Callithrix jacchus: one gene and its partners. The protein of the gene in region 7 interacts with the protein of the main gene of each other region in a biochemical or structural test. Links are inferred from orthologs where the notes say so. Each region holds a gene or a part of one and is shown on either strand. Other genes may lie near its edges. The genes, in order: ERBB4, CDC34, SMAD3, HNRNPUL1, UBE2K, SPART and ITCH.

The links.
Region 1: the proteins of ITCH (region 7) and ERBB4 form a complex in vitro, tested with the Homo sapiens proteins (2 studies listed by BioGRID, with this or other methods). The link is inferred for Callithrix jacchus from reciprocal best matches to the Homo sapiens genes ITCH and ERBB4.
Region 2: the proteins of ITCH (region 7) and CDC34 form a complex in vitro, tested with the Homo sapiens proteins (3 studies listed by BioGRID). The link is inferred for Callithrix jacchus from reciprocal best matches to the Homo sapiens genes ITCH and CDC34.
Region 3: the proteins of ITCH (region 7) and SMAD3 form a complex in vitro, tested with the Homo sapiens proteins (2 studies listed by BioGRID and IntAct, with this or other methods). The link is inferred for Callithrix jacchus from reciprocal best matches to the Homo sapiens genes ITCH and SMAD3.
Region 4: the proteins of ITCH (region 7) and HNRNPUL1 form a complex in vitro, tested with the Homo sapiens proteins (2 studies listed by BioGRID and IntAct, with this or other methods). The link is inferred for Callithrix jacchus from reciprocal best matches to the Homo sapiens genes ITCH and HNRNPUL1.
Region 5: the proteins of ITCH (region 7) and UBE2K form a complex in vitro, tested with the Homo sapiens proteins (2 studies listed by BioGRID). The link is inferred for Callithrix jacchus from reciprocal best matches to the Homo sapiens genes ITCH and UBE2K.
Region 6: the proteins of ITCH (region 7) and SPART form a complex in vitro, tested with the Homo sapiens proteins (2 studies listed by BioGRID). The link is inferred for Callithrix jacchus from reciprocal best matches to the Homo sapiens genes ITCH and SPART.

The regions. Positions count from the first base shown.
Region 1 is NC_133507.1:134,244,910-134,248,991, forward strand, and holds the start of ERBB4 (receptor tyrosine-protein kinase erbB-4), read right to left. Parts: upstream 2,801-4,082; 5' UTR 2,188-2,800; coding exon 2,106-2,187; intron 1-2,105. UniProt on the Homo sapiens protein: Tyrosine-protein kinase that plays an essential role as cell surface receptor for neuregulins and EGF family members and regulates development of the heart, the central nervous system and the mammary gland, gene transcription, cell proliferation, differentiation, migration and apoptosis.
Region 2 is NC_133523.1:497,938-502,021, reverse strand, and holds the start of CDC34 (ubiquitin-conjugating enzyme E2 R1), read right to left. Parts: upstream 2,801-4,084; 5' UTR 2,596-2,800; coding exon 2,419-2,595; intron 1-2,418. UniProt on the Homo sapiens protein: E2 ubiquitin-conjugating enzyme that accepts ubiquitin from an E1 ubiquitin-activating protein, and catalyzes its covalent attachment to other proteins by an E3 ubiquitin-protein ligase complex. In vitro catalyzes 'Lys-48'-linked polyubiquitination.
Region 3 is NC_133509.1:14,230,896-14,234,395, reverse strand, and holds part of SMAD3 (mothers against decapentaplegic homolog 3), read right to left. Parts: intron 1,969-3,500; coding exon 1,756-1,968; intron 1-1,755. UniProt on the Homo sapiens protein: Receptor-regulated SMAD (R-SMAD) that is an intracellular signal transducer and transcriptional modulator activated by TGF-beta (transforming growth factor) and activin type 1 receptor kinases.
Region 4 is NC_133523.1:36,576,152-36,579,651, reverse strand, and holds part of HNRNPUL1 (heterogeneous nuclear ribonucleoprotein U-like protein 1), read right to left. Parts: intron 3,110-3,500; coding exon 2,987-3,109; intron 2,892-2,986; coding exon 2,763-2,891; intron 1-2,762.
Region 5 is NC_133504.1:154,118,684-154,122,922, forward strand, and holds the start of UBE2K (ubiquitin-conjugating enzyme E2 K), read right to left. Parts: upstream 2,801-4,239; 5' UTR 2,612-2,800; coding exon 2,549-2,611; intron 1-2,548. UniProt on the Homo sapiens protein: Accepts ubiquitin from the E1 complex and catalyzes its covalent attachment to other proteins. In vitro, in the presence or in the absence of BRCA1-BARD1 E3 ubiquitin-protein ligase complex, catalyzes the synthesis of 'Lys-48'-linked polyubiquitin chains.
Region 6 is NC_133506.1:155,563,591-155,567,090, forward strand, and holds part of SPART (spartin), read right to left. Parts: intron 2,188-3,500; coding exon 1,993-2,187; intron 1-1,992. UniProt on the Homo sapiens protein: Lipophagy receptor that plays an important role in lipid droplet (LD) turnover in motor neurons.
Region 7 is NC_133506.1:4,928,753-4,933,002, reverse strand, and holds the start of ITCH (E3 ubiquitin-protein ligase Itchy homolog), read left to right. Parts: upstream 1-1,450; 5' UTR 1,451-2,417; intron 2,418-4,250. UniProt on the Homo sapiens protein: Acts as an Acts as an E3 ubiquitin-protein ligase which accepts ubiquitin from an E2 ubiquitin-conjugating enzyme in the form of a thioester and then directly transfers the ubiquitin to targeted substrates.

The DNA of each region.
Region 1 (4,082 bases), on a different chromosome or scaffold from region 7:
ACCTTAGTATGCGTGTTGCAATTATACCAGGGATGCACCCGAGAGCTTTTCTTTGTGCGGCCCTTTCATCTGGATCACTTTGTGTTTTGAACAAGTGAGACTCGCCTTTGTGCCCCCAGAATTTCAAGTACAGAGTCACACATGGAACAACAATGGCACGCTAATCCTCGCGCTCTAAATGGGCTCACTTGTGGGTCTGACAATTCGCCCAGGGAAACGAGAAGAGAGGAGCGAGACGCTAGCTGGTGTCGCCTGAGCCGAGGAAGAGGACAGCTGCAGAACTAATTTGGATTACATTCCTTGCTGAAATTCTGAAAAGGGCTTTTCGGCATAGCTCAACCCGGAGCCGCACAGTTAATACCAAATTGCTGCGGACTCGGAGCGGGGTCCCCCAATGGCAGAGGCTGAACCAGACAGTCCCCAGTAGGTCGCCTCGTAGAAATTCCTCTCGGTTAAGCCTGCATGTCGGTCGCCACTGCCTTTGAATGGGTCAATGTGCATAATCAACCCATTGAGGGGAAATATGAAGGGACTCGAAGTGGGGAGGGAGATAAAAAGAGATGTATCTAAGAGGCCGCTTGGAATGTCAAGTCCGTGTTGGTATGATTCCGGAGGTGGCTGGAGCGCGGGACCTGGTATGCATGAAGAATTTCGGAGTAATTGGGAGGGTGCAAACCGCCAGCACAAACGCCGCACATGTGCCATTCGAAGGTCATTTTGAAAGGCTCGATGATTGTAACTTGTTATTTACTAGGCAAAGGAGGAGGAGGTGGCGGCGGCGGCGGGGGCGGAGCGGGAAAACTACAGCTTGCTGTTTTCTTGGTGAGGTCAGGATACCCTACAGGGGCCTAAAGCTCTCCCTATCGCCACTCCCGGGGGCTTTATCACCTCGAGCTACCTCCCACGCTCCAGTCACCAGCCCCGGATGGTTTCGGAAATCTCCCTGGCTCTCCAAAAGCCACCCCTTGGCCGCGTCAGACAGCGGTCCTCCTCAGACCTCTCCTGTCCCACTTTCATCCCAAGAAACTCAAGTGTCAGAAACTTTGAGCTCCCTTGCACTGCAGGTGCTGTCATTAGTCCTGCACGCCGTGGTGCGCCAGCCCCGCCGCGCTGTCTCTCGGGGTCAATGAGCCCTTTGCCTGCCCAGGTACCTGGGGTTCGAGCTCTCTAGCAAGCAGTGGCCGTGCACCCAGCACCGCCGCCGCCGCTGCTCGCGCCTGGGGTGGATCCGGTGACCCGCAGGCTGGGCAGCACCGCGGGGCAGTAAACAGACAAGTTTGAAGGACTCCGGCCAACAGCAAGTAGAACTACAGGAAGAACTCTTCCCGGAGCCAAACACGGCAACCGACGGGAAGGCCGGGCTTCTGGCTCGAGTGTGCCAACCCTTTTTTTCCCCCTTTTTTCTTTTTCTTTTTTCAAGGTCAGGCAGGCCAGCAAGCGCCCCTGAAGTCATTGGGGCAAGGGCTCCGGGAAGCTGGCAGAGGAGGCCCGGCGCTCCGGTCCCCGGGCCGAAGAGGGCCAGCCCGCTGCACTTCGGCTGCCCCGGCTGGGCGCTAGTCGCGTCTGACCCTACAAGGCTCGGGTGACTGGGGCGCAGAGGCCGCCGGCAGCACACACAGGTGCGCAGCCCGACTCTCGGAGCGCCACTCTCCACCTCCCTTCAGGCTGGGTTCGGGAGAGGCCCAGCCAACACCGCCCTGGGACTCCAGCCCTTCCGCGGCCCCGGTGGAGCGGCTTCTTCCCTCGAGAGCCCAGAGTGGGACAGGAGAGTCTCCTCTGACTGGGGATTTCCGTCTCCCATGTCCCGAACAACAGGCGCCACCATAAGGGATCCCGCTTAGGCTCCACACAAAATGCTCGGGAGAGAAACATAGGGGGTTACGGAGAGAAAAAAAAGGGACAGGGGCTGAGAATGATTTTTGCGGTAAACAAAGCTCGCGCACACATACAGGGTAAGTTTCGAGTGGAAAGAGGGGCGACCGAGAGCCCCCGGTCAAGCGGTCCCTGCACGCCTCCCGGGATGGGTGAAGAGGGCAGGGGAGCCACTCGAGGCAGCCCCTCCGGCGGCGGCAGGTTTGGCAACCGGAGCGCCAGAAGGAACCCACCTGACTGAGAAGCGCTGGGCTGGACGGTCCCTGCCACCACGAGAAGGCTCACCCAGACCCAAAGTCCTGTCGCCGGCTTCATTTTTTGGAAGTCTCAGATCCCGTGCTGACAGTTACATGTCCAAATGGCATATCCCCCTTTCGGGCACGCGGAGGAGATCCCACAGCCGGGCGCGCGTGGGGGCGCGAGGGGGGCGGGCGCGGCGCGCGCGGTGTAGCAACTCCCAGGGCGGGCGACAGAGTCCACGCCGGCAGGTCCAGGGCCGGGGCCCGAGGAGGGGGCGAGTGTGCGTTCGAGTGTGAGCGCCTGTGTGCGCGTGGCGCTCCGGGCCGGACTGTGCAGCTATTTCCCCGCGTGAGCCTTCACTTGCTCGCTCCCTTCTCACTTTCTCTCTCTCTCTCTCTCTCACTGGTTGGTCAACAATAAAAAAGGAAGAGGGGGAGAAAGGTTTCCAAAAAAAGTTGATTGCAAAGAGGCGGTAGGTTTCCGGCCTCTCCCCACAGCAGGGCTATGTTGGGCTGCTTCTTCAGTTTCCGTGCACCTTCAGTCCAAATCGGGAGGGGAGCGGGGCGGGGGGAGGTTCTCGCTTCTCCCCGGATCCCGTTCTTCTTTTTCCTGTCAGCTTTCCTCACACTTGTCCGGCGGCTGCAGTAATTAAAGCTCTGAGCGTCATTTCCAACGCTCCGCGGTCTCCAGCTGCAGCCCCACAGAGAAATTAATAAGACTCCAGAAAAAAAAAAAAAAAAAAAGGTGGGGGGCGGTGGGAATAAAACAACCCTCCAAGCAACCAGGCAGGCTCTGCTCAGCCGCTCAAACCCCGCCCATGCTCTGACCCAACTAGCCACGCCCTTCCCCCCCCCCAAAAGGGAAATCTTATTGGCTCAGCCACTCCCCAAAATCCTAGGGCCTCCGGAGTTGGGAAAACACCTGTCAGGGAGAGGGAGCCGCGTGGTGGGGGCAGGGGAAGCTGGATTTAAAGGGCTCATCCGAAGCCACGCACTGAAGCACTCCTCTTCCCGCCCTGGCAGAGGCCGGGGACAGCTGGCCTGCGAAGTGAACAGACCATCGGAGGGGCGCTTACGGAAAAAAATTTTTTTTTTTTTTTTAAACAAGAAGGCAGCGTTTTTTCCATTGCCCCCCAATGCTCCTCTACAGACAGGACTTTCTCTAGAAATAAAAGGAAACTCAATGTTGCTTTCAGCAAAAAGCTTCCTCCTGCAGCACTCTGCCACTCATGGTCCACAATTAGAAAGTAGTGTGATCAGGAAGTAACTGGTAGCCCCTGCGGTTAGGTAGTTGTGGGTGTATAATCACCAATCACCACCCTGGCTCCAGCCCCAGTTATGCCATCTCTCTGGTTCTTCCCACATTTCCAAACTGACCATCATTGAGCCAAACTAAAATTTCACATTTATAAACCCTTATCCTTTGATTTTTAGATTTTGTGGGTTTTTCACCTTTGGAGTTCATTCTTATTAAGCAGATTCTTGTCCAAAGCCACTGATTTGATCCTAAAGGGCTAGAAATTGTCTCAAGCCTGAGAGAATTTAAGGACACATCAGAACATTATTAACCTTAAATGATTCTGTTTATTCTATAGTAGACCTAGCTTTAGGCCTCTTCCTTGTCCACACTCTGCATTCAGGCTCCCCAGTCCTGAGGCCATTGCTAGTTATGAGCATCTCTGACCTTTTCTGAATCTAAATATTCTGGGACTGGGTCATTTCAATGTACATATCCCTTGCCTTTTACAGCTATGAAACTGCACCCTGGCAAGGGCCAGAATCTCCTGGGGGTAGTAGGTTATTGGTTTGCTATTTGTACAGGCATTCTATGTATGAATTACTTTCCGTTTTTGGTTTTTCTAGAAGCAGCAAATATATAAATAAAAAGTATCAGGGGAGCTTAAAAATCAAACCACCCTGCTTTTCATTAGAGATCTTGATCTCTGTTTCCCACTCTCTTATCTATAGCCC
Region 2 (4,084 bases), on a different chromosome or scaffold from region 7:
TCACAGAAGCCTGGCAGGACCTGTTCCCCATCAGCATCTCCCAAGACGGCCGCCCAGCCTTCTGGCAAGGGTGGCCACGGAATGAGGAGCTCAGCCACGTGCTGGGTGACAGAGCGGTCTGGCCTGTGGCCTGGGGCGTGATGTCATCCACGGCCCTCCCGGGCCCCAGCAGGTATACAAGGAAAGAAGCCTCTCTGTTGGCTGGCTGCACGCCAGGCATGTCTGGGTCAGGGGTCCTGGGGGCACTCAGCACTCCAAGGCGCTCAGGGCAGCACTCCCCAAAAGCCAGTCATTGGAAAGGCCCCTCCTGGACAGGATGGGCACTCAGGGGTTCTTGGGGGATGTTCTCTGTTTGACAGGGAACTTACTGGGGTCCCGTGAGGCAAGTAGCTTGGCTGAGGCCACAGAGGAAGGCTGGAATTTTGGCCTCAGAACTGCCCAGTAGTTCCCCAAGACTTCAGGCCCCCGCCAAGCCTGGTGCTGGGCTTGAGGCTTCAACAGCAGCACAGAGAACCTGCCTCATCTGTACCAAACCCCACCAAGTCCCAATGAGCCTCTTGCTTTAAGCACCTCTAAAAACGCCTTTTACTTGGAGCAAATCCAGGCTCAGAGAGGGAAAGCACCCCGCCAAGGGCACACAGCAAGCTAGCTGCAGAGGGGTCTCTCCAGCAATGCCTGCCTCAGGGCTGACTCCGGCACCTGAAGGCGCAGCAGCTGCAGGCAGTGGCTGGGCAGCAGTGGTGGCCCTGGCACTCCATAGCTCCTGGATTTACATAACCCCCATTCCTGCCCTGGCACATCGGGAAGGGAGGGTCCTGGTGGGGGCAGCACCCCCATGTCTCAACACTGGCTTCTGAGGACTGACCCTGCGGCAGATGTCCAGAGGCCCCCTCCCAAGGAAATCCGGAAAACTGGATTATCCCCTAATACTGCCCAGGAGCCTCTGCCCACAATCCCTGGCAACCTGTCTGGTGGGCAGCAGCCAGAAACCGGCATCCCTTCCTTCCAGAACAGCAGCCGCCTCACAGGCCTGGCCTCGAGGTGGAACTGCCCCTCCTCACAGCCAGCTGCTCCCACAAGCAGACAAAAGGGGCTGGGGGAGGGGGGCTGCAGAAACCATTTGGCAACCTGCAGGCCCAAAACCCCGTGTGGGGGGACACAGGATTGCAGAGGCAGAACCCAGGACGTCCCACCCTTTGCTGTGAGCCAGAACCTCAGCTCAGGAATCACCCCCAGCAGACCAGGCTGCTGCCCTCACAGCCGCTGAGTGGGCGCTGCTCAGACTTAAGCGGCCCAGAGCACAGACATTCACCCCGTGGGAGGCATCAGCCCCTCGGCCCCATGCCCACAGCTGGCCGGGCTGAGGCTTCTGCTGCCCACCCGGCCTCCAGCCAGGGCAGAGCGGGCAGGGCCGTGCCCAGGCTCTTGGCAGGCAGTGGCAGCGGGAGGGGGCATCCTGGGCAGGGCGCTCGCTCCCCACCTCTGACACGGGGCCCCTCGCTTTGCCCCTCTGGCCCCAACAGCAGAGTCCTGTGACTCCTTTTAAAGTCAAAGGTCACGTCTGGACGGAGAGATCAAGAAACGCGCCCAGGCTGTGGCCTGAATCCCTTTCACCCGGGACGGAAGCAGCCTCCCAGCTCCCAACAACAAAAACACCGGGAAACCGCTGGGAATCGAGCCGCCAGAGGGCGGAAGAAACGGCCCACAACCCGGGTTCCGGGCCACCAGAAGCCACCTGTTCCGCGGAACCCGAGAGAGGCCCAGGCCAGCTGGGATGAGCGGAGCGCGCAGCTTCTGGGGTCGGAGCCGGGGCCGCGGAGAGCTGCGGGGAGCAGGCGGGAGGCCGCCCCTGCCCCGGCCTCCCCGAGCGCGCAGGTTACATAAAGCCGGGCCGGAACCCAGGGCGCCTGGCCCGGCTGCTGTCGGCGAGGGTGGCCGCCTTCCAGGCAGGTCCCGGCTGCCAAAGTCCGTCCGGGCCTTTGTTGGAGCCCGAGCGAGAGGCCGCGCCAGCCGCCCCCAGGCTGGCCTCGCTCCCCGACAATGGCAGCTGCGGGGTCGTGCGGGGAGGGGGGAGGCGGCAGGAAGGCCGGGGCGGCCCTGGCTACGCTCCCCGTTTCCCGCAGGGCTGCCGGGGTCGAGCCCCCCGAGGAGGAGGCCGGCAACAGTCTCACGCCCGGTGATCCGGGGTGGGGGGGGGCCCGGGAAACTAACAGGGGGCCGGACGGCGCCTTCCGGGGAGTTGGGGATCCTCGAGGACCCCGAGAGTGACCGCGGAGGGGCCGGAGAGCTGGGGGCGGGGGGTCCCGTGGCCGCAGGAAAAAACAAGCCCGAGCCAGGAGGCTGCGGGGCAGGGAGCGGGTCCCCGGCGCCCCAGGTCGCTCGCGGGCTCGGGGACCGGGGCGGGGTGGCCGCGCTCACCTTGAAGTAGCCGCCCTCGTAGTAGGTGTTGGGGGGCCCGAAGATGGCCACCTCCCAGTTGTACAGGTCGCCCTCGTCCACCAGGGTCACGCGGAAGCCCTCGACCGGCTCCTCCTGGAGCCCCTTCAGCTCCAGCAGCAGCGCCTTCTGCGAGCTGGGAACCAGCGGCCGGGCCATGGCGGCGGCGGCGGAGGAGCCCGGGGTCGGCGCCGCGCGGGGCGGCGGGACCACCGCGAGCTCGCGAGACGGACCGGGCCGCGCGCCGGCCGGGGGGGAGCCGCCGCCTGCCTCCTCCTCTGCGCCGCCGCCGCCGCCCGGGGACCCCGAGCGCTCCACCAGCTCTGCCGCCGTAGACCACCCGGCGCCCGCCTCAGCCCGGCCCGCGCGCCCCGCCCCCCGCTGCGCCTGCGCGCCTCGCCGGGCCCGGACTGCGCCTGCGCGCCGCGGCCAGGCCCGACCTCCGCCTGCGCGCCCGCCCGTGGGGCACGCCGGGAAATGGAGTCCCCGTCCCGGCCCCGCCTACCGCCCCCGCCGCCGGGATGGAGTGGCCGAGCGCACAGTCCTGGGCACTTTCGACCCCGAGGCCGCCGCCGTCGCCCCAGCTCCACCAGCACCGCAGATGCTGTGCGCAGGGAGGCAGCCAAAGCTGTGCTGCGCCGCCACCGGCCCGGCCCCCGGGCTTTGGGGTCGTTTTGTGACGTTCCGGCACGGGGCGGGGCCGCGGGCGGTGAACGCGGCGCGGGGTGGTGTCCTGACCCGGGCCGGAAGGTCCGTCCCGGCTTCCGGTCCCCAGTCTGTACTGGGGACGGGCGCGAAGTCTGTCCTGGGGAACGCCGGGCGCGCGGAGGGCAGGACGGGTGGCAGCCAGGCGCCCGGCGGGGACTCGGACACCCGGCTTCCGGGCGCAGCGCTGCCTCGGGTTCCCGCACCGCGGGGGCTCTGGGAAGTGGGCGGGGTCAGGAGGGCTCCGAGGGGTGGGAGACAGCGAGGACTTCCCGGTGAAAGTCCCCACGTGGTGTGAGCCGGTGCAGGCGCTGGAGCCATCAGAGGTTGCCGAGGGGTCCCTGTTCCCTAGAAAAACGGGGAAAGAGGCGGACTCAGTCCAGCCAGCATCGGCTCAGCGCCTGACCCGGGAGAGACCTCAGCCCCACGGATCCCCCACCCCAAGCTGAACCCCTGCCTGGCTGTGCCCTCTTCCCAGGCTGACCTTTGTCCCAGCCGAGTCTTTTTTTTTTTTTTTTTGAGACAGGGTCTCGCTCTGTCACCCAGGCTGGAGTGCAATGGAAGAGTCTCACTGCAACCTCCGCCTCCTGGGTTCAAGCATTTCTTCTGCCTCACCTTCCTTAGTAGCTAGGATTACAGACGCTCGGCCAGCACACCTGGCTAATTTTTGTATTTTTAGTAGACAAAGGGGTTCATCATGTTGGCCAGGCTGGTCTCGAACTCCTGACCTCAAGTGTGTTAGGTTTTGAAAGGAAGGCCAGGGTGGAGTTTGAACTAACAGAGTGATTTGCCTTCCTCAGCCTCCCAAAGTGCCGGAATTACAGACGTGACCCACCCACTGCTCCCTGCTCCCAGCGTGGGCCCTGGTGCTGGGCTTCACTGTGACCCCACCCGACTTTTGGCTGAGTGTCTGCCCAGACACCCACTTGTTCCTTGCCCTAAA
Region 3 (3,500 bases), on a different chromosome or scaffold from region 7:
CTTGAACCAGGGAGTCAGAGGTTGCAGTGACCCGAGATCACACCACTGCACTCCAGCCTGGTGACAGAGTGAGACTCTGTTTAAAAACAAAACAAAACAAGAACAACAAAAAAAAAAAAACTGGCAGGACCCACCATAACAAGATGCCTAGGTATCTGAAGCCAAGACTGTGCCACTGCACTCCAGCCTGGGTGACAGAGTGAGACTCCATCTCAAAAAAAAAAAAAAATTATATATATATGAAACATAGGAAAAAGCCAGTTGCAGTGGTGTATGCCTGTAGTCCCAGATAATCAGGAGGCAAAGATGGGAGGATGGCTTGAGCCCAGGAGTTGGAGACTGGCTTGGGCAACATAGCAAGACTATCTCTAAATCAATCAAACAGTGGTATGCCACCCAGAATAAGTATCTTTCTTAAAGTGAAAAACAAAAAGCAAAATAGGAATAACGGGTCTCGTAGTGGCGGCTATCTGTCAGTGACGATGCCAGTCTCTGCAGAGCCAGCAGCCCTGACCCTCCTCCCACCCCCACCAGACATCAGGTCCCTTCCCTAGAAAATGACAGCACAGACCTAGGCCCATGGCCTCCAAACTTTTCTTCTCTTCGCTACACAATCAGTCCTCTCTTCAAATGAAGTCTTCTGTGAGAGCACGAGAGATGAAGCGAGTGCAGAGGTGCTCTGGTTCACGTGGGGCCAGGCTTCCCTTTGCTGACCTGTCCAGCTCCTGAGTTTGCCCTGGGAACCCCTCGGCCAACCCTTGGGGCTCCAGGATGAGGTCTGAGAGTACCTCACTCCACCATCTCTCTACAGCCCTTCTAAGTTCTGACAGTCTATGATCCTGGATCTTAAAAATCCTCTAATCACGGTAACTTCATAAGCAAACCAAGTGAAGCGTAACACAGCTTCATCTTCCTTAAACTCACAAAGTCATCTTTTACTTATGTTCTGGGGGCTAGAAGGCAGAATGTTCACAGTAGTTGTGTTTGGATAGTGAACAATTGTTTTCTACCTAAATTGTCTAGAATAATAATACATGAAAATAAAAGATCACTCTTCCAACAATGACTGCCTGCTTATCAACCTATCCATCTGTACTTTCAGGGTATTTTTATTAAGAGGATTTCAGCCGGGCACAGTGGCTCACACCTGTAATTCCAGCACTTTGGGAAGCTGAGGCAGGTGGATCAACTGAGGTCAGGAGTTTGAGATCAGCCAGGCCAATATGGTAAAATGCCATCTCTACTAAAAATACAAAAATAAGCAGGGTGTGGTGGTGGGTGCCTGTAATCCCAGCTACTCAGGAGGCTGAGGTAGGAGAATCACTTGAACTCAGGAGGCAGAGGTTGCAGTGAGTCGAGATCATGCCACTGCACTCCAGCCTAGGGGATAGAGAGACTGTGGCTCCCCACCAAAAAAAAAAAGATTTCATATGTTGCCTTTCTCATAGATGCTCCTTTCTGGATCCCTTAAGTGAAGTATTTTCCTCTGTGGCCTCCAGATTTTCCGAGATTGTATCTTTGAGTGGGAATGATCAACTGGCCTGAACACTACCCATCTGGCCCCTAAACAGGGCAACAGAGAATGTGGGGTCCTTTCGGGGCAGTGAGTCTTCCCCCATTCCCAGCAGGAGGCAGAGCACAGCTAAGGATGGAGGCAGGGTTCCATGCAGAGAGTGTGCTGGGGCCTAGGGCTGGCAGGGGGGATAGAGCAGTGGGGACAGGATGGGGACGGCAGGGGATGCAGCCAGCCCATACCAATGTGCCTCCTCGTCAGCTCCACTGCTGCGTTCCTGTTGACGTTAGAGAGCAGCCCTAGGCAGAAGCGCTCCGAGTTGGAGGGGTCGGTGAAGCCATCCACAGTCATGGATGGCTGCGAGGCATGGAACGTCTCCCCGACGCGCTGGTTCAGCTCGTAGTAGGAGATGGAACACCAGAAGGCTGGCTCGCAGTAGGTGACTGGCTGCAGGTCTGCGGACACAGAGTAGGCTCCTGGGTCAGTGGGTGCCCCAGGCCCATGCTCCCTCGATGGGGTCCCATGGAAGCTCTGGAAAACCATTTCCCTGCATTTTAGAGGGTATTAATAATCTCTCCTACCCCATGCCTTTTATTGTATAAAACTGGCAGGACCCACCAGAACAAGATGCTCCAGTGTCTGGAGGAGATTCTGTCAGCCTTGCCATGGTATCGGTGTAAAGGGCCATTGATTTTTTTTTTTTTTTCTTAGCTCATAGAGGTCCTGCCCCACCTGCTTGGCCTTGACTGGATGGAGGGAGTCTTCAAGGAGGGGCTAGGTCAAACCGGAAGAGGACCAGGGGACCTCCCAGTACCTGGATGAACCTGGGGCAGCCACTGCTTGCACTCACCATGGGGCAGGCCATGGCTTCTGCACGGTCACCTCCCAGCCTCTCTTGCAAGATCCCCAGAGTAACCCACATTAATCCCTGCCCCTAAAAGGGCTTTCAGCACAGCCTTAGGGGCAAACTCCAGGCCTGTGGAGTAGCACCTTCCAAGCCTACAGCAGCTGAGTGGGTTTCCAAAGGCACACCACATCAGCACAGTGGACACACCAGGCATCGTCTGCAGACTGAGCCCGGGGCCACGTCTGTTATCACAGAAACTGTTTTCCACATTTACTTAGATGCTGGCTGCTGGGGTGGCTAGGACACAAATGCGGCTGAAGAAAGTTGGGATTGGTCCCAGTTGTCTGTACAGCCTCCATCAGGGGCTCCTCAAAGCAAAACTGCCACCCTGCAAGGGGCTGCTGCCTTTTCTCAGAAGTGTAAATGGTAGCTATTCCTCACACTGGACACTTCCCAGCCCTCCATTTCCTGGGGCCTCCTCGCCCTTCTCTTGCCCCAGCAGCCGTGGCGCTGTGCCCTTGGAACTCCCACTCACACTGATGCCACAGCCTCTGGACCAGGACTGCCTTGCACCCCATGCCAGCCATTTCCAACTGCTCTGTGCTGCACTGACTGCCAGGTGTGAGCCCTGAGCCTAACACACTCTGCCTGATGCCTACCTGAATCCCTGATTCCCATCCATGTGCTGAAGAATCAGGGAGTCCCCCCTACTCATTTGCACTCTTCCATCTCAAACCTTCAGCCTGGCTCTGAAGTCCCTCTGGCTCTTAAACATACCTGGAGCCACCCAGTTACTGAGGGTGCACCTCTATGTGAGCATCCTGACTGTCCAACCTGACCACGGGGTCCTAGGGCCCAGGCTGACATCTCTCCTCCCTCTCTTCAACCTTCAGCTCAGGGCTCTGATGCAGGAGGAGCAGGAGAGACTCACCATGCTCACATCTCAGCCCTGGCCTGAGAACCCTGCTCACTGGGTGCCGGGCAATGTCTAGGAGAGAGCCCACCAGGGACCTCTGCTCATCAGACCTACTGAAGGTATGTGGAGCCCAAGAGAGAAAAGTCAAAAGCTGTTCTGCCCACAGGAAGGGGCCTGGTTGCCCCTGCTGGACAGAGTGCCCTGATCCCCTTTTGGGGTCTAGG
Region 4 (3,500 bases), on a different chromosome or scaffold from region 7:
TTCCTACCTCCAACAGAAGACCCTGAAGAGCCACCTGAAGCAATGTGGCCTTCTACTCCCCCTTTCCCTCTCCTCTGCAGCCTTTTACTAGCCAGGCAAATTTATCTACATTCCTCCAGCTGAAAATATGACCATGACTCCCCACTCCCTTCAGGACAAAGCCCCGGCTCTTTTAATCATCCTCTGTGTCCTGACCCAGACATTCCACCTCCAGAAAGCTTCCCCAAATTCCCATCATGGCCCCAACCATTCTAGCCTATGGCTGCTTGGGAAGTCAGCAGAGCTATGATCTATCAGTACACTGGCTGTGTGGCTTAGCAGTCCTATAGTCCTCTGTAGAGGCCTAGGTTTCCTCCCTGGTCCACCTCTTTTCTATCTTTTTCTCCTCTGATGTTCCACAGCTGTGATGCCCAAATGATCTGAAGAGGCTACTCAGGTTATCAAAGAATGTAAGTCAAAGCCCCAATATACCTGAGAGCATGTGCCCAATAACATACATCCAAGGGTGTGGGTTAGAGTCCAGGCCAGACAAAGGCAGAATCCTGGCTTACACAGGCCCACCTAGCTTCTGCAGTCAACCTCTCCTTCTCTCTCAAGGACAGGCATTTCTGAGGCCAACCTACCTAACAGGAGGCCCAGAAGAGCCAAATGTGGGGAGGTCTGACCACTCAGGAAAAACCAGTGAAGGCAAAACATGGTTCTGGGCTGAGGTTCAGGAACTGCAGGGACTTTGCCTATAGTATGGGTTTCCCCTTTGGAAATTCCACCTAGCCCAGGAGACAGCTATGCATCATCAACTTACCCATCACTGCCAAAGCTGGTGGAGTAGAAGTGCCAGGATTGGCCAGAGGCTTGCTCTGAACCTTCTATACACAAACACATAACTTCCCTCTCCCTCCCTCTCATAACCAGAGTTTTCTGGAACCCACTTTTGGGATTTAGGCCAAAACAGGTGAAACCACTGACTTTACACTCCCTCCCTCAGCCTGAGTAGCCTATGGTTTCAGGCCCCGAGTCAATCCTCCAATCTATGGTTAACCAGAGAACCCTCCTCCCCAGCCTTCAGAGTTTAGGTTCTCTGTCTCACTGTTGGCCCAGATCACTTGGCCGGACCCACATGTCCCTTCAGCAGGAGGCTGGTAGCCCTGAAGACCACAGACATACCTGGTACAGCCCTAGACCCTGTCCCTGAACAAGCCAGCAGCAGCCAAGAAGGCTGACAGTAAGTCTTCAGAGTGCGCAGCTGACATGGGCCTGGCTTCCAGAGAAAAGCCACTTCAGCATCCTGGACAGAGATGTTAGACGATCCACTCTAGACTATAATCATTCTCCCCCAGGGCCACATATTTGAAATGGGTTTCACAGCTGATATAACCAGCAAACCAAGAAAAAGACAGGCAGGGAACATTGACTGGGGTGTCCAAAGAGGTATATATCCTGTGTTAAAATGGTGTCACTGCTCTGCCTTTCCCAACAACAAATCCAACTGGGGTCAATTCAGACTAAAATTCTAAAATGCCCTGACAAGAAGGATCAGGCAAAGTGAGGAAAACTGGGGGAATAACCACGGAAGGATTTTAGACTACCCTGTGCTCAACTGTTTTGTGTAGGATCCTCATTCCTACATGAAGGCAACTTGGTTCTAGGCAATTCCTTTCCAACAAGCCAACTACCATCCTGACAAAGCCACTGTCACCACCTCCACTGTTATCAGGAACTCTCTGAATTCATGGTCACCGAGTACCCAGGCCTAGCTGTATGGAAAGTACTTCAGGAAGGCAACAAGGGCAGGGTGTTACTCAGTTTACATTATTTGCTCACTCACAGGTCCTTAAACCACAAATGCAAGGCTGAAGGGAACAGAGGCTTATTCAGATATCCAAATATAGAAAATAAGGAAACACCCTTTATTACTTGTGAAAGCCTTCAGGACAAATGTCAAGTATGACGCTGCACAGGCAATAACCATGTGGAACTCATTACTCTGACACAGGAATCTGTAACGATTTTTGGGTCACTCATCCTTTTGAGAATGCTGAAAGATATGGACAAAAAGCTATGTAAGGTTTTTTTTTCTTCTTTTTGGTAAAAAGGATATACCTGCACCTGCATACAATATTTATGTTCAATTGCAAAGGTTTCAGGTCCCCTGATATTAACAACTCCACTATTAACTGAAATGTAGGTAGAAAATATGACTTAGGTATGTACCTGCCAGTCACCGTATTTGTGAAGAGAATATGATGGAAGCAGTAACAGCGTTTACCTTACAGCACTGCTGTTGGAATTAAAGGTACTCTACTTATTCTGCAGAGTATTTAACAATAATCACCAGCTACTAAGTGCCAGGTCCTGTGTCAGGTGTGCAGATGCTATAGTGATCCCCGTTTTACCAACAAAGACATAGAGATTTAGAGGATAAAGTCAGCTGCCCAAAGGCACAGAGCTAGGGAGTGGCTGAGCTGGGATTCAAGCCCCAGTCTGTCAGGCTCAGAAATCCATACTTCTTCCATTTTGCCAAACAGTTCTCACCTGATATTCTTTGGGGCTGCTGATGAGTCTGAGTAAGTAGGCCTAGATCCCAGTGCGGATTCAGCTGGGTCTAGGACATGACATCATGTATGACACAGTCTGACCCCCCCCGACTAGCACAGCAGTCGATCACCATTACGGGAAAGAAAAAAAGGGACCAGAGTGGGCTTCCCAGGCATGGCAGGGATCCCATCCCTTCTCCTGAGGACACAATGGTCATCAGTAAGTACCTGATCTAGGATATAGTTGCGTTTCTTGCGGGCAGCAATCTGGATGAGGCGGTTGAGGCACTGGGTGGCCTGCTGGATGAGGACATCCCAGCGGCCAGCATAGTTCCGCTGCCGGCGTAGGCCCATCACCTGCAGGCAGGAAGTGGTGAGGGTAAGTGGTTTTAGTTGCAGGCAGCACTCGGTAGGTGGGAAATGAGTAAGGAGAGTCCAGTAACTGTCCTTACCCGCATCTTATCCATGATGGCATTGGTACCCAGGATGTTGTACTTCTTGGAAGGGTTGGAGGCTGCATGTTTGATGGCCCATGTGGTCTTGCCAGCAGCAGGCAGGCCCACCATCATCAGAATCTACAAGAATACAAGAACAAGACAGGGGAGGTGTTGCAGCATGGTGGTGTGGTACCACTTGGCTCGCTGGTGACTGTGAGTGTGACTCTGAACCTCTGAACTACGGCTGCCTCTGGAAAGTGGACGCAATAACACCATCTACCTCACAGTACTGGTATCAGGATTCAAAAAGATAAGGCTTGTCAGACTCTGTGCACAGCACCTGGGACAGGGTAAGCATTAAGTCAAGGGCTGGCCAGGCATGGTGGCTCATGCCTGTAATCCCAGGACTTTGTAAAAACAAAAACAAACAAACAAAAAAACACCAAGTGCTGTCATCATTAGCATTGATAGAATTTTGTTTTTTTGAGACAGGGTCTCACTCTATTGCCCGGGCTGGAGTATAATGGCC
Region 5 (4,239 bases), on a different chromosome or scaffold from region 7:
AATTTTTCCAATTTCTCATGAAACCTTTTACCTGCACAGGCAAATACACATATTCCCCTCCATTTGAAACAAATGGTGGCCTCTCCCACACTATTCTGTATCTTGCTTTTCACATTTATCTTGTTGGCTGTATTTTAATTAACACACTCTAAGAATGGCCACCACAATCCAACAAGCGTCAGCTATCTCTACAAAGACACTTAAAAGGCCACCCCAAAAAGTCCTTAAATCAACCAGTGTTCTTACTAAACACAAGCACACAAGCATATGAAATAAACTTTGGTAAAGTGCAGATTTACCAAAAAAGTGACATGATGAAATAGTTATTTGATCAGCCATTCAAAAGACTGGATTTACACCCTTAAAAAGGAAACACATGGACTGTACTACAAGTCCTTCAATGAGTTGAAAATAACAATCTACTTATAGATCTGGGACACTAAAATGTCAAAAAATAATGGTGAAAATAAGCTATTTATTGGTTATATTTATTCCAAGATTAAGTGATGTGAACTTTTCCTAAATGTTCTTTGCAACTTATTTTCCTAGAAGAAGTTTCTTTCCATATTTCTATAGGTACTGTTCTCAAAAAAAAAAAAAGTTTGTCGTCCCTATTTTCTTCTTCTGAAACGCTTATGATACTTATTTGAAGTAAACCATCATCCCTTATGTATAATGAGCAGTGTTATTTTAACAATATGCATTACTAGAGAGCAATACAAGTATTTCTGGTAATCTTCAAGTTAAGTACTAAGAATACCACGGTGAAGTCAGCTCATAAAAAGCAGAGACCATATAAATTACTAGAGTAGTAACTTACCACTTTTCAGTAATAGAAAATAAAGCATTAAAAGTCTATTAAGTTTCAAGCTTCTACAACCTTATTAAACAAGAAATGTTTTAGGTTGTTGGCAACAATATTAGCTGCTATCTTCCATTAGAAGTATATATGTCAAATATCCTGGAATACATTTTCATATTAAGTTAAAATTGCTGTTTCACTGTTATCAATACAAACACTTATGACTCTGTTTCTGCACTGTACCACAAAATACAAAGTCATCCTTCCATTCAGAGTTTTGGCATATGAACAGAGGTCAGAGTTCATACACATGCTCTGTAAAACTGATCATGACTTACATACTACTACTTTCAAGAAGCCTATTTGTCATTTTTGAATTTTAAACAATTTTTTCTTCATGTCTACTCATCACATACTTAGAATGCTGAATTTCACTAATCACTATCGACATTATCGAAGTACTAACCGTAAAAGAAAAAACACAAAAGCAACGATATATTCAATAATGGTACGTGAATCTTGAAAATAACCATTTTCTGTATTACTTTTTGTTTAATCCTTGTGGGGAAGGCAATCTGGTATTCTTGTTGATTTTTGGTATGAAAAACTGTACTAATACTTATGTAATTCTGAGTCAAATTACTAGAGCATTGTGAATATCTTACTTAAACGTACTAATATATCTAAATTCTGCAGGATTTAAGAGCAACGGGAGGCAATTTTTTTGAAAATCTGCTATATCGTGATAAATCTACTCAATAAAGAGATAAAACAGTGTATTAATCTGGTAAAAGCACACGTTTTTAATAGGTCTACTTTTCAAAAGTAAGAATCAAGTTAACTATGAGGGACATCATAATGAAGTTTCGTGGCACAACACTAGTCACAGAGGTACTGTATTAGGACAGTCTCTCTGATCTGTAACTTGTAAACAATATTTTGAAATAAGCTACTCTTACATTCCATTTTTTTTCTAACTAAAAATATTTAAATGTCTTTAATACACCAAACACCTTGCCTTTGCCCACTCAAAGACTGAGATGTCGATAAAGACGAGGCCTAGGAATTTGGGGGTAAAGTGGAAAAGACATAACGATCTCATTTGGAATTAACTTGCTAACAGAGGTGAAAATTCCCTTATCCCTGCCACCGAATAAGACAGTATTCTATTATTCTCCCCTTGACTCCTAACACCCAACTAAGAAGGACTAACTCTGAATGTCCTTCCTTTTTAATCGATACCTAAGGACTCACCGCTCCTTCCCTAAGAAAAGGACGGTGACGGCCTGACAGGCAATAACCCAGAATATCCTCAAAAGTGTGGGCCTTAGAGCAGCACCGGCTCCTCCGGATACAGTTACCACCTTTCCCCTTCCCCCAACCCACTTCCCGGGTTTTCTCGGGCTCGGCCTGCTCCCTCCCCACCCCAGAGCCACACTTCCAGCTGTGGCCACCGCCTCGGGTTCTCTCGTGAGCTTCCATCCCGCCGAGGAGTTCCCCCCTGTCCATCAGTTCCCCAAACTGTGTTCCACCCCAGACCCCCCGCCCGCCGAGACCGTCCATCCTAGCGCTGTGGGAGGGGAGGGGAAGGCGGCGGAAGGAGGAGGGGAGCACTACTGCTTCCCCACAGGCAGAAGGGCGGCCGCAAGGAGGGCCACCCAGGGACTACCGGGGATATCGGGGTCACGCTGGGAGGACCCTCCCGCCCGGGCAGAGGTGGGGGATGTCCGGGAGTTCATTTCTGACCTCCTCGCTCTTCAGCACCTCCTTGAACTCCCGCTTGATTCGCTGCACCGCGATGTTGGCCATGTCTCCGCCCGCAGCTGATTCGTACCCGCCTCCTCCGCCACCGCTACGACCACCGCCACCGCCGCCACCTCTTCCTCCACCGCCTCCTCCCTCAGCGATTCAGACCCGAGCACACGAACACTGCCACTACCACCCCGGCCACCGCGCTCTCCTCAGTGTGGAATCACCTCCGCGCCCGGCCACCAAAATGGCGCCGGGTCCGCGCATGCGCATGATGCTGACCCGGCCGGGCGGCGCAGCCGCTCCCGTTGTAGCCCCCATTCGCCCGAGCCACGAGCGCGCGTCTCGACTGGGGCTGCGGCCGCTTGACTCCGCCCTGCCGGCGTCTGGAGCCGGGAGGGTGCGCCTTCCAAACTGGCCGGGACCGCCGGTCCTCCCCGGCGCCTCCACTTCTGTTTAAACCCGGGTGCTGTGGTCCGGGCTGCCAACCCCTGGACTCTGACCGAAGGTTCGGGTGCAACCGAACGGTTCCCGAGGCCGCAATCGGCTGGAGCGCCTTCCTGACTCAGCTAGACCCGGAACCCGGTGGCTGAACGCCGGGTGCGGGAAAACGTCTAGTGCAGGAAAACGCTCTCCCGGAACTCGATCCGGCCCATTTTCAGTTGGTGTAGCCCCAGAAAATCCGCTGCAGTCGTTTTTGTTCTGCAACATTTATAGTACCAAGATTATTCCCACCATCTCAGGTAGCACAGATTATTGAATTAAGGCTGGTTATTGTTGAATCAGATCCGGTTTGAGACAGGTATTACGTGGAGAGGCCTGATGATGGATCTAGAAGCCAGATGTTGATCTTTGACCTATTTAGATAATACAGAGCTTGATACACACACACACACACACACACACTCGCGCGCGCGAGCACATACTCCCACTCCTATACACACTCACTCCTGTGCCCATCCCTAGAGTGTAGGATGGCCCCAAGACACACTCTCTCTCTCACTCATTCTTGTGCCCATGTCTGAACTAAAGCATGTGAAAATTCATATAAAAGTGAAAATTGGAGAAATAGAAACAATTATAGTGCTTTTCAGGGCACTGGGGGTGGGGGAGGGGAGCTTTACTTCTGTAAACCTAGGCCTACAAAGGTGCCTGGTGCTAGTAGGCACTCAATAAATATTGAATGAATAAATGAGTACACGTAAGAGTAAAATGTTTTGGCTGCCACGGCGGATCGCTTGAGGTCAGGAGTTCGAGACCAAGACTGGCCAACATGGTAAAACCCCGTCTCTACTAAAAATACAAAAATCAGCCAGACATGGTGGCGGGCGCCTGCAATCCCAGCTACTCTGGAGGCTGAGGCAGGAGAATCGCTTGAACCCCGGGGACAGAGGTTGCAGTGAGCGATATCGGGCCACTGCACTCCAGCCTGGGCGACAGATCTGTCTCAAACAAAACAGAACAAAAAGTGCAAAATACTTTAAGTGGAAAGTCAGTTTGAAAGTGGTTTCTGGTCGGGCACGGTGGCTCAGTGCTGTAATCCCAGCACTTTGGGCGGCCGATGGTGGCAGATCGCTTGAGCCCAGGAGTTGGACACCAGCCTGGGCCCCATGGTGAAGTTCCATCTCTAAAGATAATAATAATTTTTTTTTTTTAGAGTGGTTTCTAAGGCTCATAGTAATAATGAT
Region 6 (3,500 bases), about 150 Mb from region 7:
TTACCATATAATGTTACAATTTCTATTTAAGGATATGAAGCTTAGAGCAGAGGTCTCACTATGTTGCCCAGGCTGGCCTTGACTTGGACTCCTGGGCTCAACTGATCCTCCTGCCTCTGCCTCCTGAGTAGCTGGGACTACAGGCATGTAGCACAGACTGGCTATTTTTTAAACAATGGCTTTTGTTTGTTTTAAAGCTGTGTCTGCAGAGCCTACCAATGTTTATAACCTTGCCTCTCAGATATGCATGTTCTTGTACTTCTGCTTGAGAAAACCAGCTGCCTTTTCTTTGACTGCTACAATGCAAGACTGGTCAGTACTTTTAGTTTTTTCCAGCTTAATGTATTCACTTTTTCTTTTTCTTTTTTTTTTTTGAGATGGAGTCTCGCTCTCTCACCCAGGCTGGAGTGCAGTGGCGCAATCTTGGCTCCCTTCAACCTCCGCCTCCCGGGTTCAAGTGATTCTCCTGACTCAGACTTCTGAGTATCTGGAATTACAGGTGCGTGCCTCTACACCCGGCTAATATTTTGTATTTTCAGTAGAGACAGGGTTTCACTATGTTAGCCAGGATGGTCTTGATCTTCTGACCTCATGATCCGCCCACCACGGCCTCCCAAAGTTCTGGGATTACAGGCATGAGCCACTGAACCTGGCCTCGTGTATTCATGTTTTTCTACCAATAAATATCTCCATGATCTCAGTGAAATAACAGTAAAGTATTTAATTCTATAAAAGTAAACAATCCAAGATCTGATTCAAAAAATACTATATAACAAAAAAGATAATTTTACTAAATTTAATGATAATGCATTAAGGTCCTATCTACCCATCTCAAAACACCAAATTTCAGTGCTGTGATTCTCTAAGAGCAAGGGGTTAGAAGTATATTGCTTGGGAGGGCTGGCACCGGAATCACTAAGTCAGCTTTTCTCAAACAACAACTCCCTCTTGACCCTCAACTGCTAGGCAATAAACTGTTCTCGTTGAAAGAATATGTCGTATCCCTTAGAAGGATTCAAGGGTTCACATCCAGTTGTGCTGCATAATGACCTTTTGATCATTTCAGACATTTCGTGGTCCCATAAGATTATAATGGAGCTAATAAAGTCCCATGGCCTAGTAACATTACAGCCACCTTAACATCATAGTGCAATTACTTTGTTTTAAAAATAAATTTAGTGTGGCCCAAATGTACAGTTAGAAAGTCTACAATAGCATATAGTCATGTCCTAGGTCTTCACATTCACTCAGCACTCACTCACTGACTCACTCAGAGCAACTTCCAGTCCTGCAAGTGACATTCCTGGTTGGTGCTCTCTTAGGTTTTAAGCCATTTTTCATCTTTTATACTGCACTCCTACTGTCCTACCGTACCTCTTCTATGTTTACATGTGTTTAAATAGACAAATACTTACCTTTGTGCTACAATTTCTTATGGTATTCAGTACAGTCACATGCTGTATAGGTTTGTAGCTTAGGAGCAACAGGCTATATCATATAGCCTAGGTGTGGAGGAGGCTGTAACGTTTAGGTTTGTGTGAGTATACACTATGATGTTCACACAATGATGAAATCACCTGACACATTTCTTAGAACTTATTCCCCTCATTAAACAATACATGACTGTACATTCAGAACTCTTTTTCAAAGATACACACATTCTCCACTCCAACACATCAACACAACCCTTTAACCAGTTTCTCAAACTTTTATATGCAAATAAGAATCACCTAGGGATCTCTTGTGAAAATGCAGATTCTGAATCAGTAGGTGTGTCTGTACCTAAAATTCCGCATTTCTAAGCCTTCCAGACAGGCCCATGTGATGTTGCTGGTCTGCAGGTCCCACTATGAATAACAAAGAGAAACTGCTTTGTCCTGATTCTTTATTCTTGAGATTAAACCATCTAAATGAACATGTAGATTAAACCTGGACCAAGACATTATTTTAAATTTAACTTTAAAGAAGTAAAATTATCTAGAATTACTTTACCCAGGAACTGACTGACTTTTGCTGCTCCTCCTGTAGCTTGCTTTGCTATATAAAGTCCCTTGGTGACAGCCGGACTAACTTCCACAGGTTTTTCTTCGGGTTGAATCCGTTCTCGGAGCTTAGAAGCACCTTTCTGGATGGCTTTGCCAGTAAACTCAGCACCTTTGACTAAACCCCAACTCACCCAGGAAGCACCTTTTTAAAAGAAAATTTTAAAATACCATAATATTAGGTCTAATTATACTTTTAAACACTTTAATAACATCAACCAGCAAAAAATAAAAGGAGTTTGATAATCAGATGCTAAATGTGCCACGTCATAAACTTTCAAGCTAACTTTATACCTACAGTTTTCTTCCTAGAATATATACCTTTTCTAACTAATATATGAATACTTAGGTCACATGTCACTCAGTGACAGAGTTCTGCATTACTCTATGCTGCCACGACAACTTGTAGGTATCTCTGTATGTTACTTACCACAGTATATTACTGTTAGGTATTAACTTTGAGTTTTGGTGCCATTAAAATAGGATTTGGCTAAGGAACCCAGACACTGTTGGTCTTTTTGCCTTAGGCCAGGCACCACTTTTCCCCATGAAATCCTGAGGGAGAAAGACAGAAACATCACAAAATGGAAATCTGTTATCTCAAACACCAAGGCAGAACTCTTACTTCCTTTAGGCTGAAAGCATTAGTCAGGGGGTCCTGTTCCCTTCTCAATCCTAAACCCAAACTCTTGGATCTCAGCACCGTTTAGCTTGTTACAAGTGACATAAACATGGCAACACCCAAATGCATGAGCAGAGAAAATCTACAAGAGAAGAGAGAGGCCCAGATAATTTAGCCATTCCTCATGACAGTGGCCCAGCCCTTTGGTTTGCTTATGCTTCTCACAGCTTGAATGACAGAAGTGCTCACTAGAGGAACAGAAGGATGGAAGGGCCTTCTCTAGTGAGGACAAAAGGTCCTGAGTCAGTGGGAATGTGGGGAAAGGAAGAGCGGGAGAGGGATGAGAAAAGAAAAAATATACAAGAACAGTGTCCCCTAAGATGGGAAAAAGTACTACCCTACTTTGCAGAGACTTCCAACTGAAAAATACTTCTTTTTTAGCTAACCCTTAACAATAAGCTTTCAAAGTTAAACATATGAAATACTTAAGTGTTCTCTCAAGGTCTGTGGCATGGTTGTATATGATTACTCCAACCCATGAGTGAGCATCCAGCTATCATACCAGTTGATTTTAAAATTGGCATGTAATAAATAATTAGAAATTTTATGTTTCTCTTCCTGTTTTAGTCAACATCTCCACCTCCAGTTCCAAGCCTGCCCACACTGTCCTACCTGACAATCAACTTCTGGGGAAGTGAAGGATTCAAACCCAATCAAACAGGCGCCCATAAACAATAAAAGGCTTGAAGAAGTCATTTAAAAAAATTATCTTTTTAGATTAACTTATAAGTTGAAAAGTTATAAGAAGAAATCAGCTGAACTTGAAAACTGAGAAA
Region 7 (4,250 bases):
TCTGAAGGGTGAATTTTTTTCTTTTCTTTTTAATTATGGCCTTTAATGTACATGGTTAAAGGCTAAGGTAGGCCAGGTGCAGTGGCTTGAATCTGTAATTCCAGAGATTGGGAGGCTGAAGGAGGGAGGATTGCTTGAGCCCAGGTGTTGGAGACCAGCCTGGGCAACATGGCGAGACGGTGGCCCCATCTGAACCCCATCCCATCCGAACCCCACCTCACCCCATCCCTGTCTCTACAAAGGATAGAAAAAATTAGCTGGGTGTGGTGGCGTTCACCTGTGTCCCAGCTACTCAGGAGGCAGAGGTGGGAGGCTTGCTTGAGCCCAGGATTTAAAGGCTGTAGTGAGCTATGACTGTGCCACTGCACTCCAGCCTAGGTGACAGAGTGAGACCCTATCTCAAAAAGAAAAAAAGAAATGAAGAAAAAGAAAGGAAAAGAAAAAAGAACAACTAAGCTATATAGACCAGTGGTTCTCAAATTATGATCTCACTCATAGTAGCATCACTAGAAGAGCTTGTTAGACATACAAGTTATCAGACCCTATCCTCCTTATCCCAGATCTTCTGATCAGAAACTCTCGGGGTGGGGCTCAGCAGTGTACGTTTTTTTTGTTTTTTTTTTTGAGGCGAAGTCTTGTTCTGTCACCAGGCTGGAGTGTAGTGGCGCAATCTTGGCTCACTGCAACCTCTGACTCCTGGATTCAAGCAACTCTTCCGCCTCAGCCTCCAGAGTAGCTGGGACCACAGGTGCGTGTCACTACGCCCGGCTAATTTTTTTTGGATTTTTAGTAGAGACGGGGTTTCACCATGTTGGCCAGGATGGTCTCGATCTCTTGACCTCGTAATCCGTCCGCCTCAGCCTCCCAAAGTGCTGGGATTACAGGCGTGAGCCACCTCGCCCTGCCTTTTTTTTTTTTTAAACGGAATCTTGCTCTGTCACCCAGGCTGTAGTGCAATGGCATGATCTTGGCTCACTGCAACCTCCGCCTCCCGGGTCCAAGCTATTCTCCTGCCTCAGCCTCCTGAGTAGCTGGGACTACAGGCACGCACCACCACACCTGGCTAATTTTTGTATTTTTAGTAGCGACCTGTTGGTAAGGCTTGTCTCGAACTGCTGACCTTGTGATCTGCCTGCCTCAGCCTCCCGAAGTGCTGGGATTGCAGGCATGAGCCACCGCGCCCGGCAAGCAGTGTAAGTTTTAATAAGCTTCCTAGGTAATTCTGATGTACATCAGAGTTTGACAATCACAGTCGCTATAGGCTCTGGTGGGCGAGGCGTTAAAAGAAAAAAGCCTGGATGTGTAGAAAATTGGGATTTAGCAGGATTTACCACCGCTGGCTCTTCAAGCCCGGGGCTGGCCGGTCGGCTAACGCGCAATGCCTCCTGGGGCTTGTAGTCCAGATCACTCCCGCGCTCAAGCGCCTGCGTATTGGCTGCTAACTCGCTCTGGTAGCTGTGGTCGGGGCTCGAGACCGGCTGCCATCTTAGTCTAGGGACTGAGGAGACGCCGCCGCCCCGAGTCCCGGTAAACACCCGTGGGCGAACTCGGGGCAGTTTTCGGGAGAGGGAGGGAGTCCCGATGAGAATGTTCGGGGAGAAGTAGGGCAGAGGAGTGGGACGCGCGGGTCGGGACGCCAGAGCCACGGTTGCTCCTTCTCAGAGCCGGTGTCTGGGGGGCGCGGGGAGCTCGGGCTACCGGCCCGGGTCGGGCCGTGGGGGTGGGTTGGCCGGACGGTCGGAGGGATCAATGCCAGGCGCAGGCTCCCGGAGGCCCTCGTCTCGCGGGCTCCAAGTTGTGAAAGGGCTAGGCCACGACGGGCGTGGGCAGTGTCCGGCCCCTCGCCCCTCGGCCCTTCCTGGGGCCACTCTCCAGCGGCTCGGCCTACGAGTGGGGTCCCCGCCGCCGCGGGCGACGTGGCCCTGTGAGGGGCGGCGACCGGGTCCCCCGCCACCCGGCTGGCCTTCCCGAGACATTTCCGAGCCCCCTGTCGCTAGGAGGGGGCCCAGCACAGCGGCCGCCTCCCCTTCTCTCTGTCCCGCTCCCCTCCTCCTCCCATTGTCCCCTCGGCAGGGTGGTCCTGGCCCCGGCGCTCACCCCGACGCCCGACGCCCGCCACCGCCGTGGCGGCGCCGACTTTTGCAGACGTGGAGCTGTCACTGCCCCTCCTCGGGAGAGTGCCCTTTGCTTTAGCAGAGAAAAGAAAAAAGTAGCCGTTGAACGTATTCTAAGGGCCAAAGCATGATGACATGACTTTCAAGGGGGGAACTCAAGTTTTCCCAGACTTGGTTCCCGGCCGCGGCTTTAAAAGAGAGAATCCGCGCAGGATTAGTGCTCCCGAACTAGACGTTGGGCCTAAAGTTAGTCCGACGTGTGATCAGCTGAACTTGTAAAGTGCCAGAAAGTCACGATCCCCGGTAACAACGACACCTTGTTTTCTTGGTTGTGTTCGTACCCCCATCTTACTACGTTTTCTGCCATTCTTCCACAGCGGCAGTGTACTTGTTTTGGAGTGGGGGGCGGGGAAGTGTGGGATTTTGCCTTGACAACTGGTAAGACACTGGAGCCAGCCATCTATCATTGGACTTAGCTGGGTTCTCCCGCATCGATTCCTAATACGATAATTCGATCTTCAGTACGTGTGTATGGCAGTGTATGTCAAGGTAGTGCATTTCCATTCTCAAAATCAGCTAAGGAATGGTTTATCCGTTGAGGTGAAGTTCTCATGACAGGTCTGGTGAGAGCCTGCTGTGTGTATTTATAGGTTTATTTAAGCTACAGTTCATTTTTAAGATTAAGAAATAGGATGGGCGCGGTGGCTCATGCCTGTAATCCCAGCACTTTGGGAGGCCGAGGCGAGCGGATCACGAGGTCAAGAGATGGAGAACATCCTGGCCAACATGGTGAAACCTCGTCTCTACTAAAAATACAAAAAAATTAGCTGGGCGTGGTGGCGCGCGCCTGCAGTCCCAGCTACTCGGGAAGCTGAGGCAGGAGAATTGCTTGAACCCGGGAGGTGGAGGTTGCAGTGAGCCGAGGTCGCGCCACTGCACTCCAGCCTGGCGCCTGGTGACGGAGTGAGACTCTGTCTCAAAAAAAAAAAAAAAAATTAGAAATGAAGGTGGAAATTCTGCTTCAAAGACTGTGAATGTAAGTTTTGTGAGTGCAGAAGGAATTCCATTATGTTTAGCATATAAGGCAAGTCACCAAGGATATGATATGAAATTTAAAAAATGAGTACTGACTACTTCATTGTATTCTAGAATCAAACATTTCTACATTTTTTTTTTTTTTTTTTTTGAGACAGAGTCTCATTTTGTCACCCAGGCTGGAGTGCAACAGCACGATCTTGGCTCATTGCAACCTCCACCTCCTGGGTTCAAGCAATTCTCCTGCCTTAGCCTCCCAAGTAGCTGGGACTGCAGACGCCTGCCACGATGCCCAGCTGACTTTTGTAATTTTAGTAGAGTCAGGGTTTTACTATATTGGCCAGGCTGGTCTCAAACTCCTGACCTTGTGATCCGCCCACCTCAGCCTCCCAAAGTGCTGGGATTGCAGGTTTGAGCCACCACAACCAGCCACATTTCTGCATTCTTTTTTGAAAAAATGCATCTTTACATCTATTGGGAGAAACAGACAAACCAGTAGTCCCCAATTTGACTGTTAGAATAATTATGAGATTATGAGAGCTTAGAATTTCCAGAGCCTCACCTTCTGAGATTGACTTAGTAGGTCTGGGTTGGCTCCAACAAATTTATTTTTAACACATGCCTTAGGTAATTCTAATGGTCTTGGAAACCACTCAGGGCAAATGTTACTGTAGACTTACCAAGGAAAGCTCAGAAAGCTTTGAGACAGAAGAGGAAGTGGCCAATTCCGTGTGTGTGGCAGGGTGGAGGATTGGTTAGAAAAGGCAAGATTTGTCCCTGAACCCACATTGGGTCTTAGATGAAGAGTAGGAATGTGAAAAGGGCACGGAAAGAGGATAGGGTAGGCAGAGGGAATGCCTTAATGCTGTGTGTAAATTCAGAGGATTATGGAACAAAAAGAGTTCAGTGAGTAGGGAGTAGAATGGGGAAGGAGAGCATTTTGAAACACAACATCAGAAAGGTTAAAGGAAGCAAGTATATGAAAAGTTCTTTTTTGTTTTTGTTGAGACTAGGTCTTATTCTCTTACATAGTCACCTAGGATGGAGTGCAGTGGCAGGACCTCCAGAGCTCAAGTAATCTTCCCACTCCAACCTCCCTGA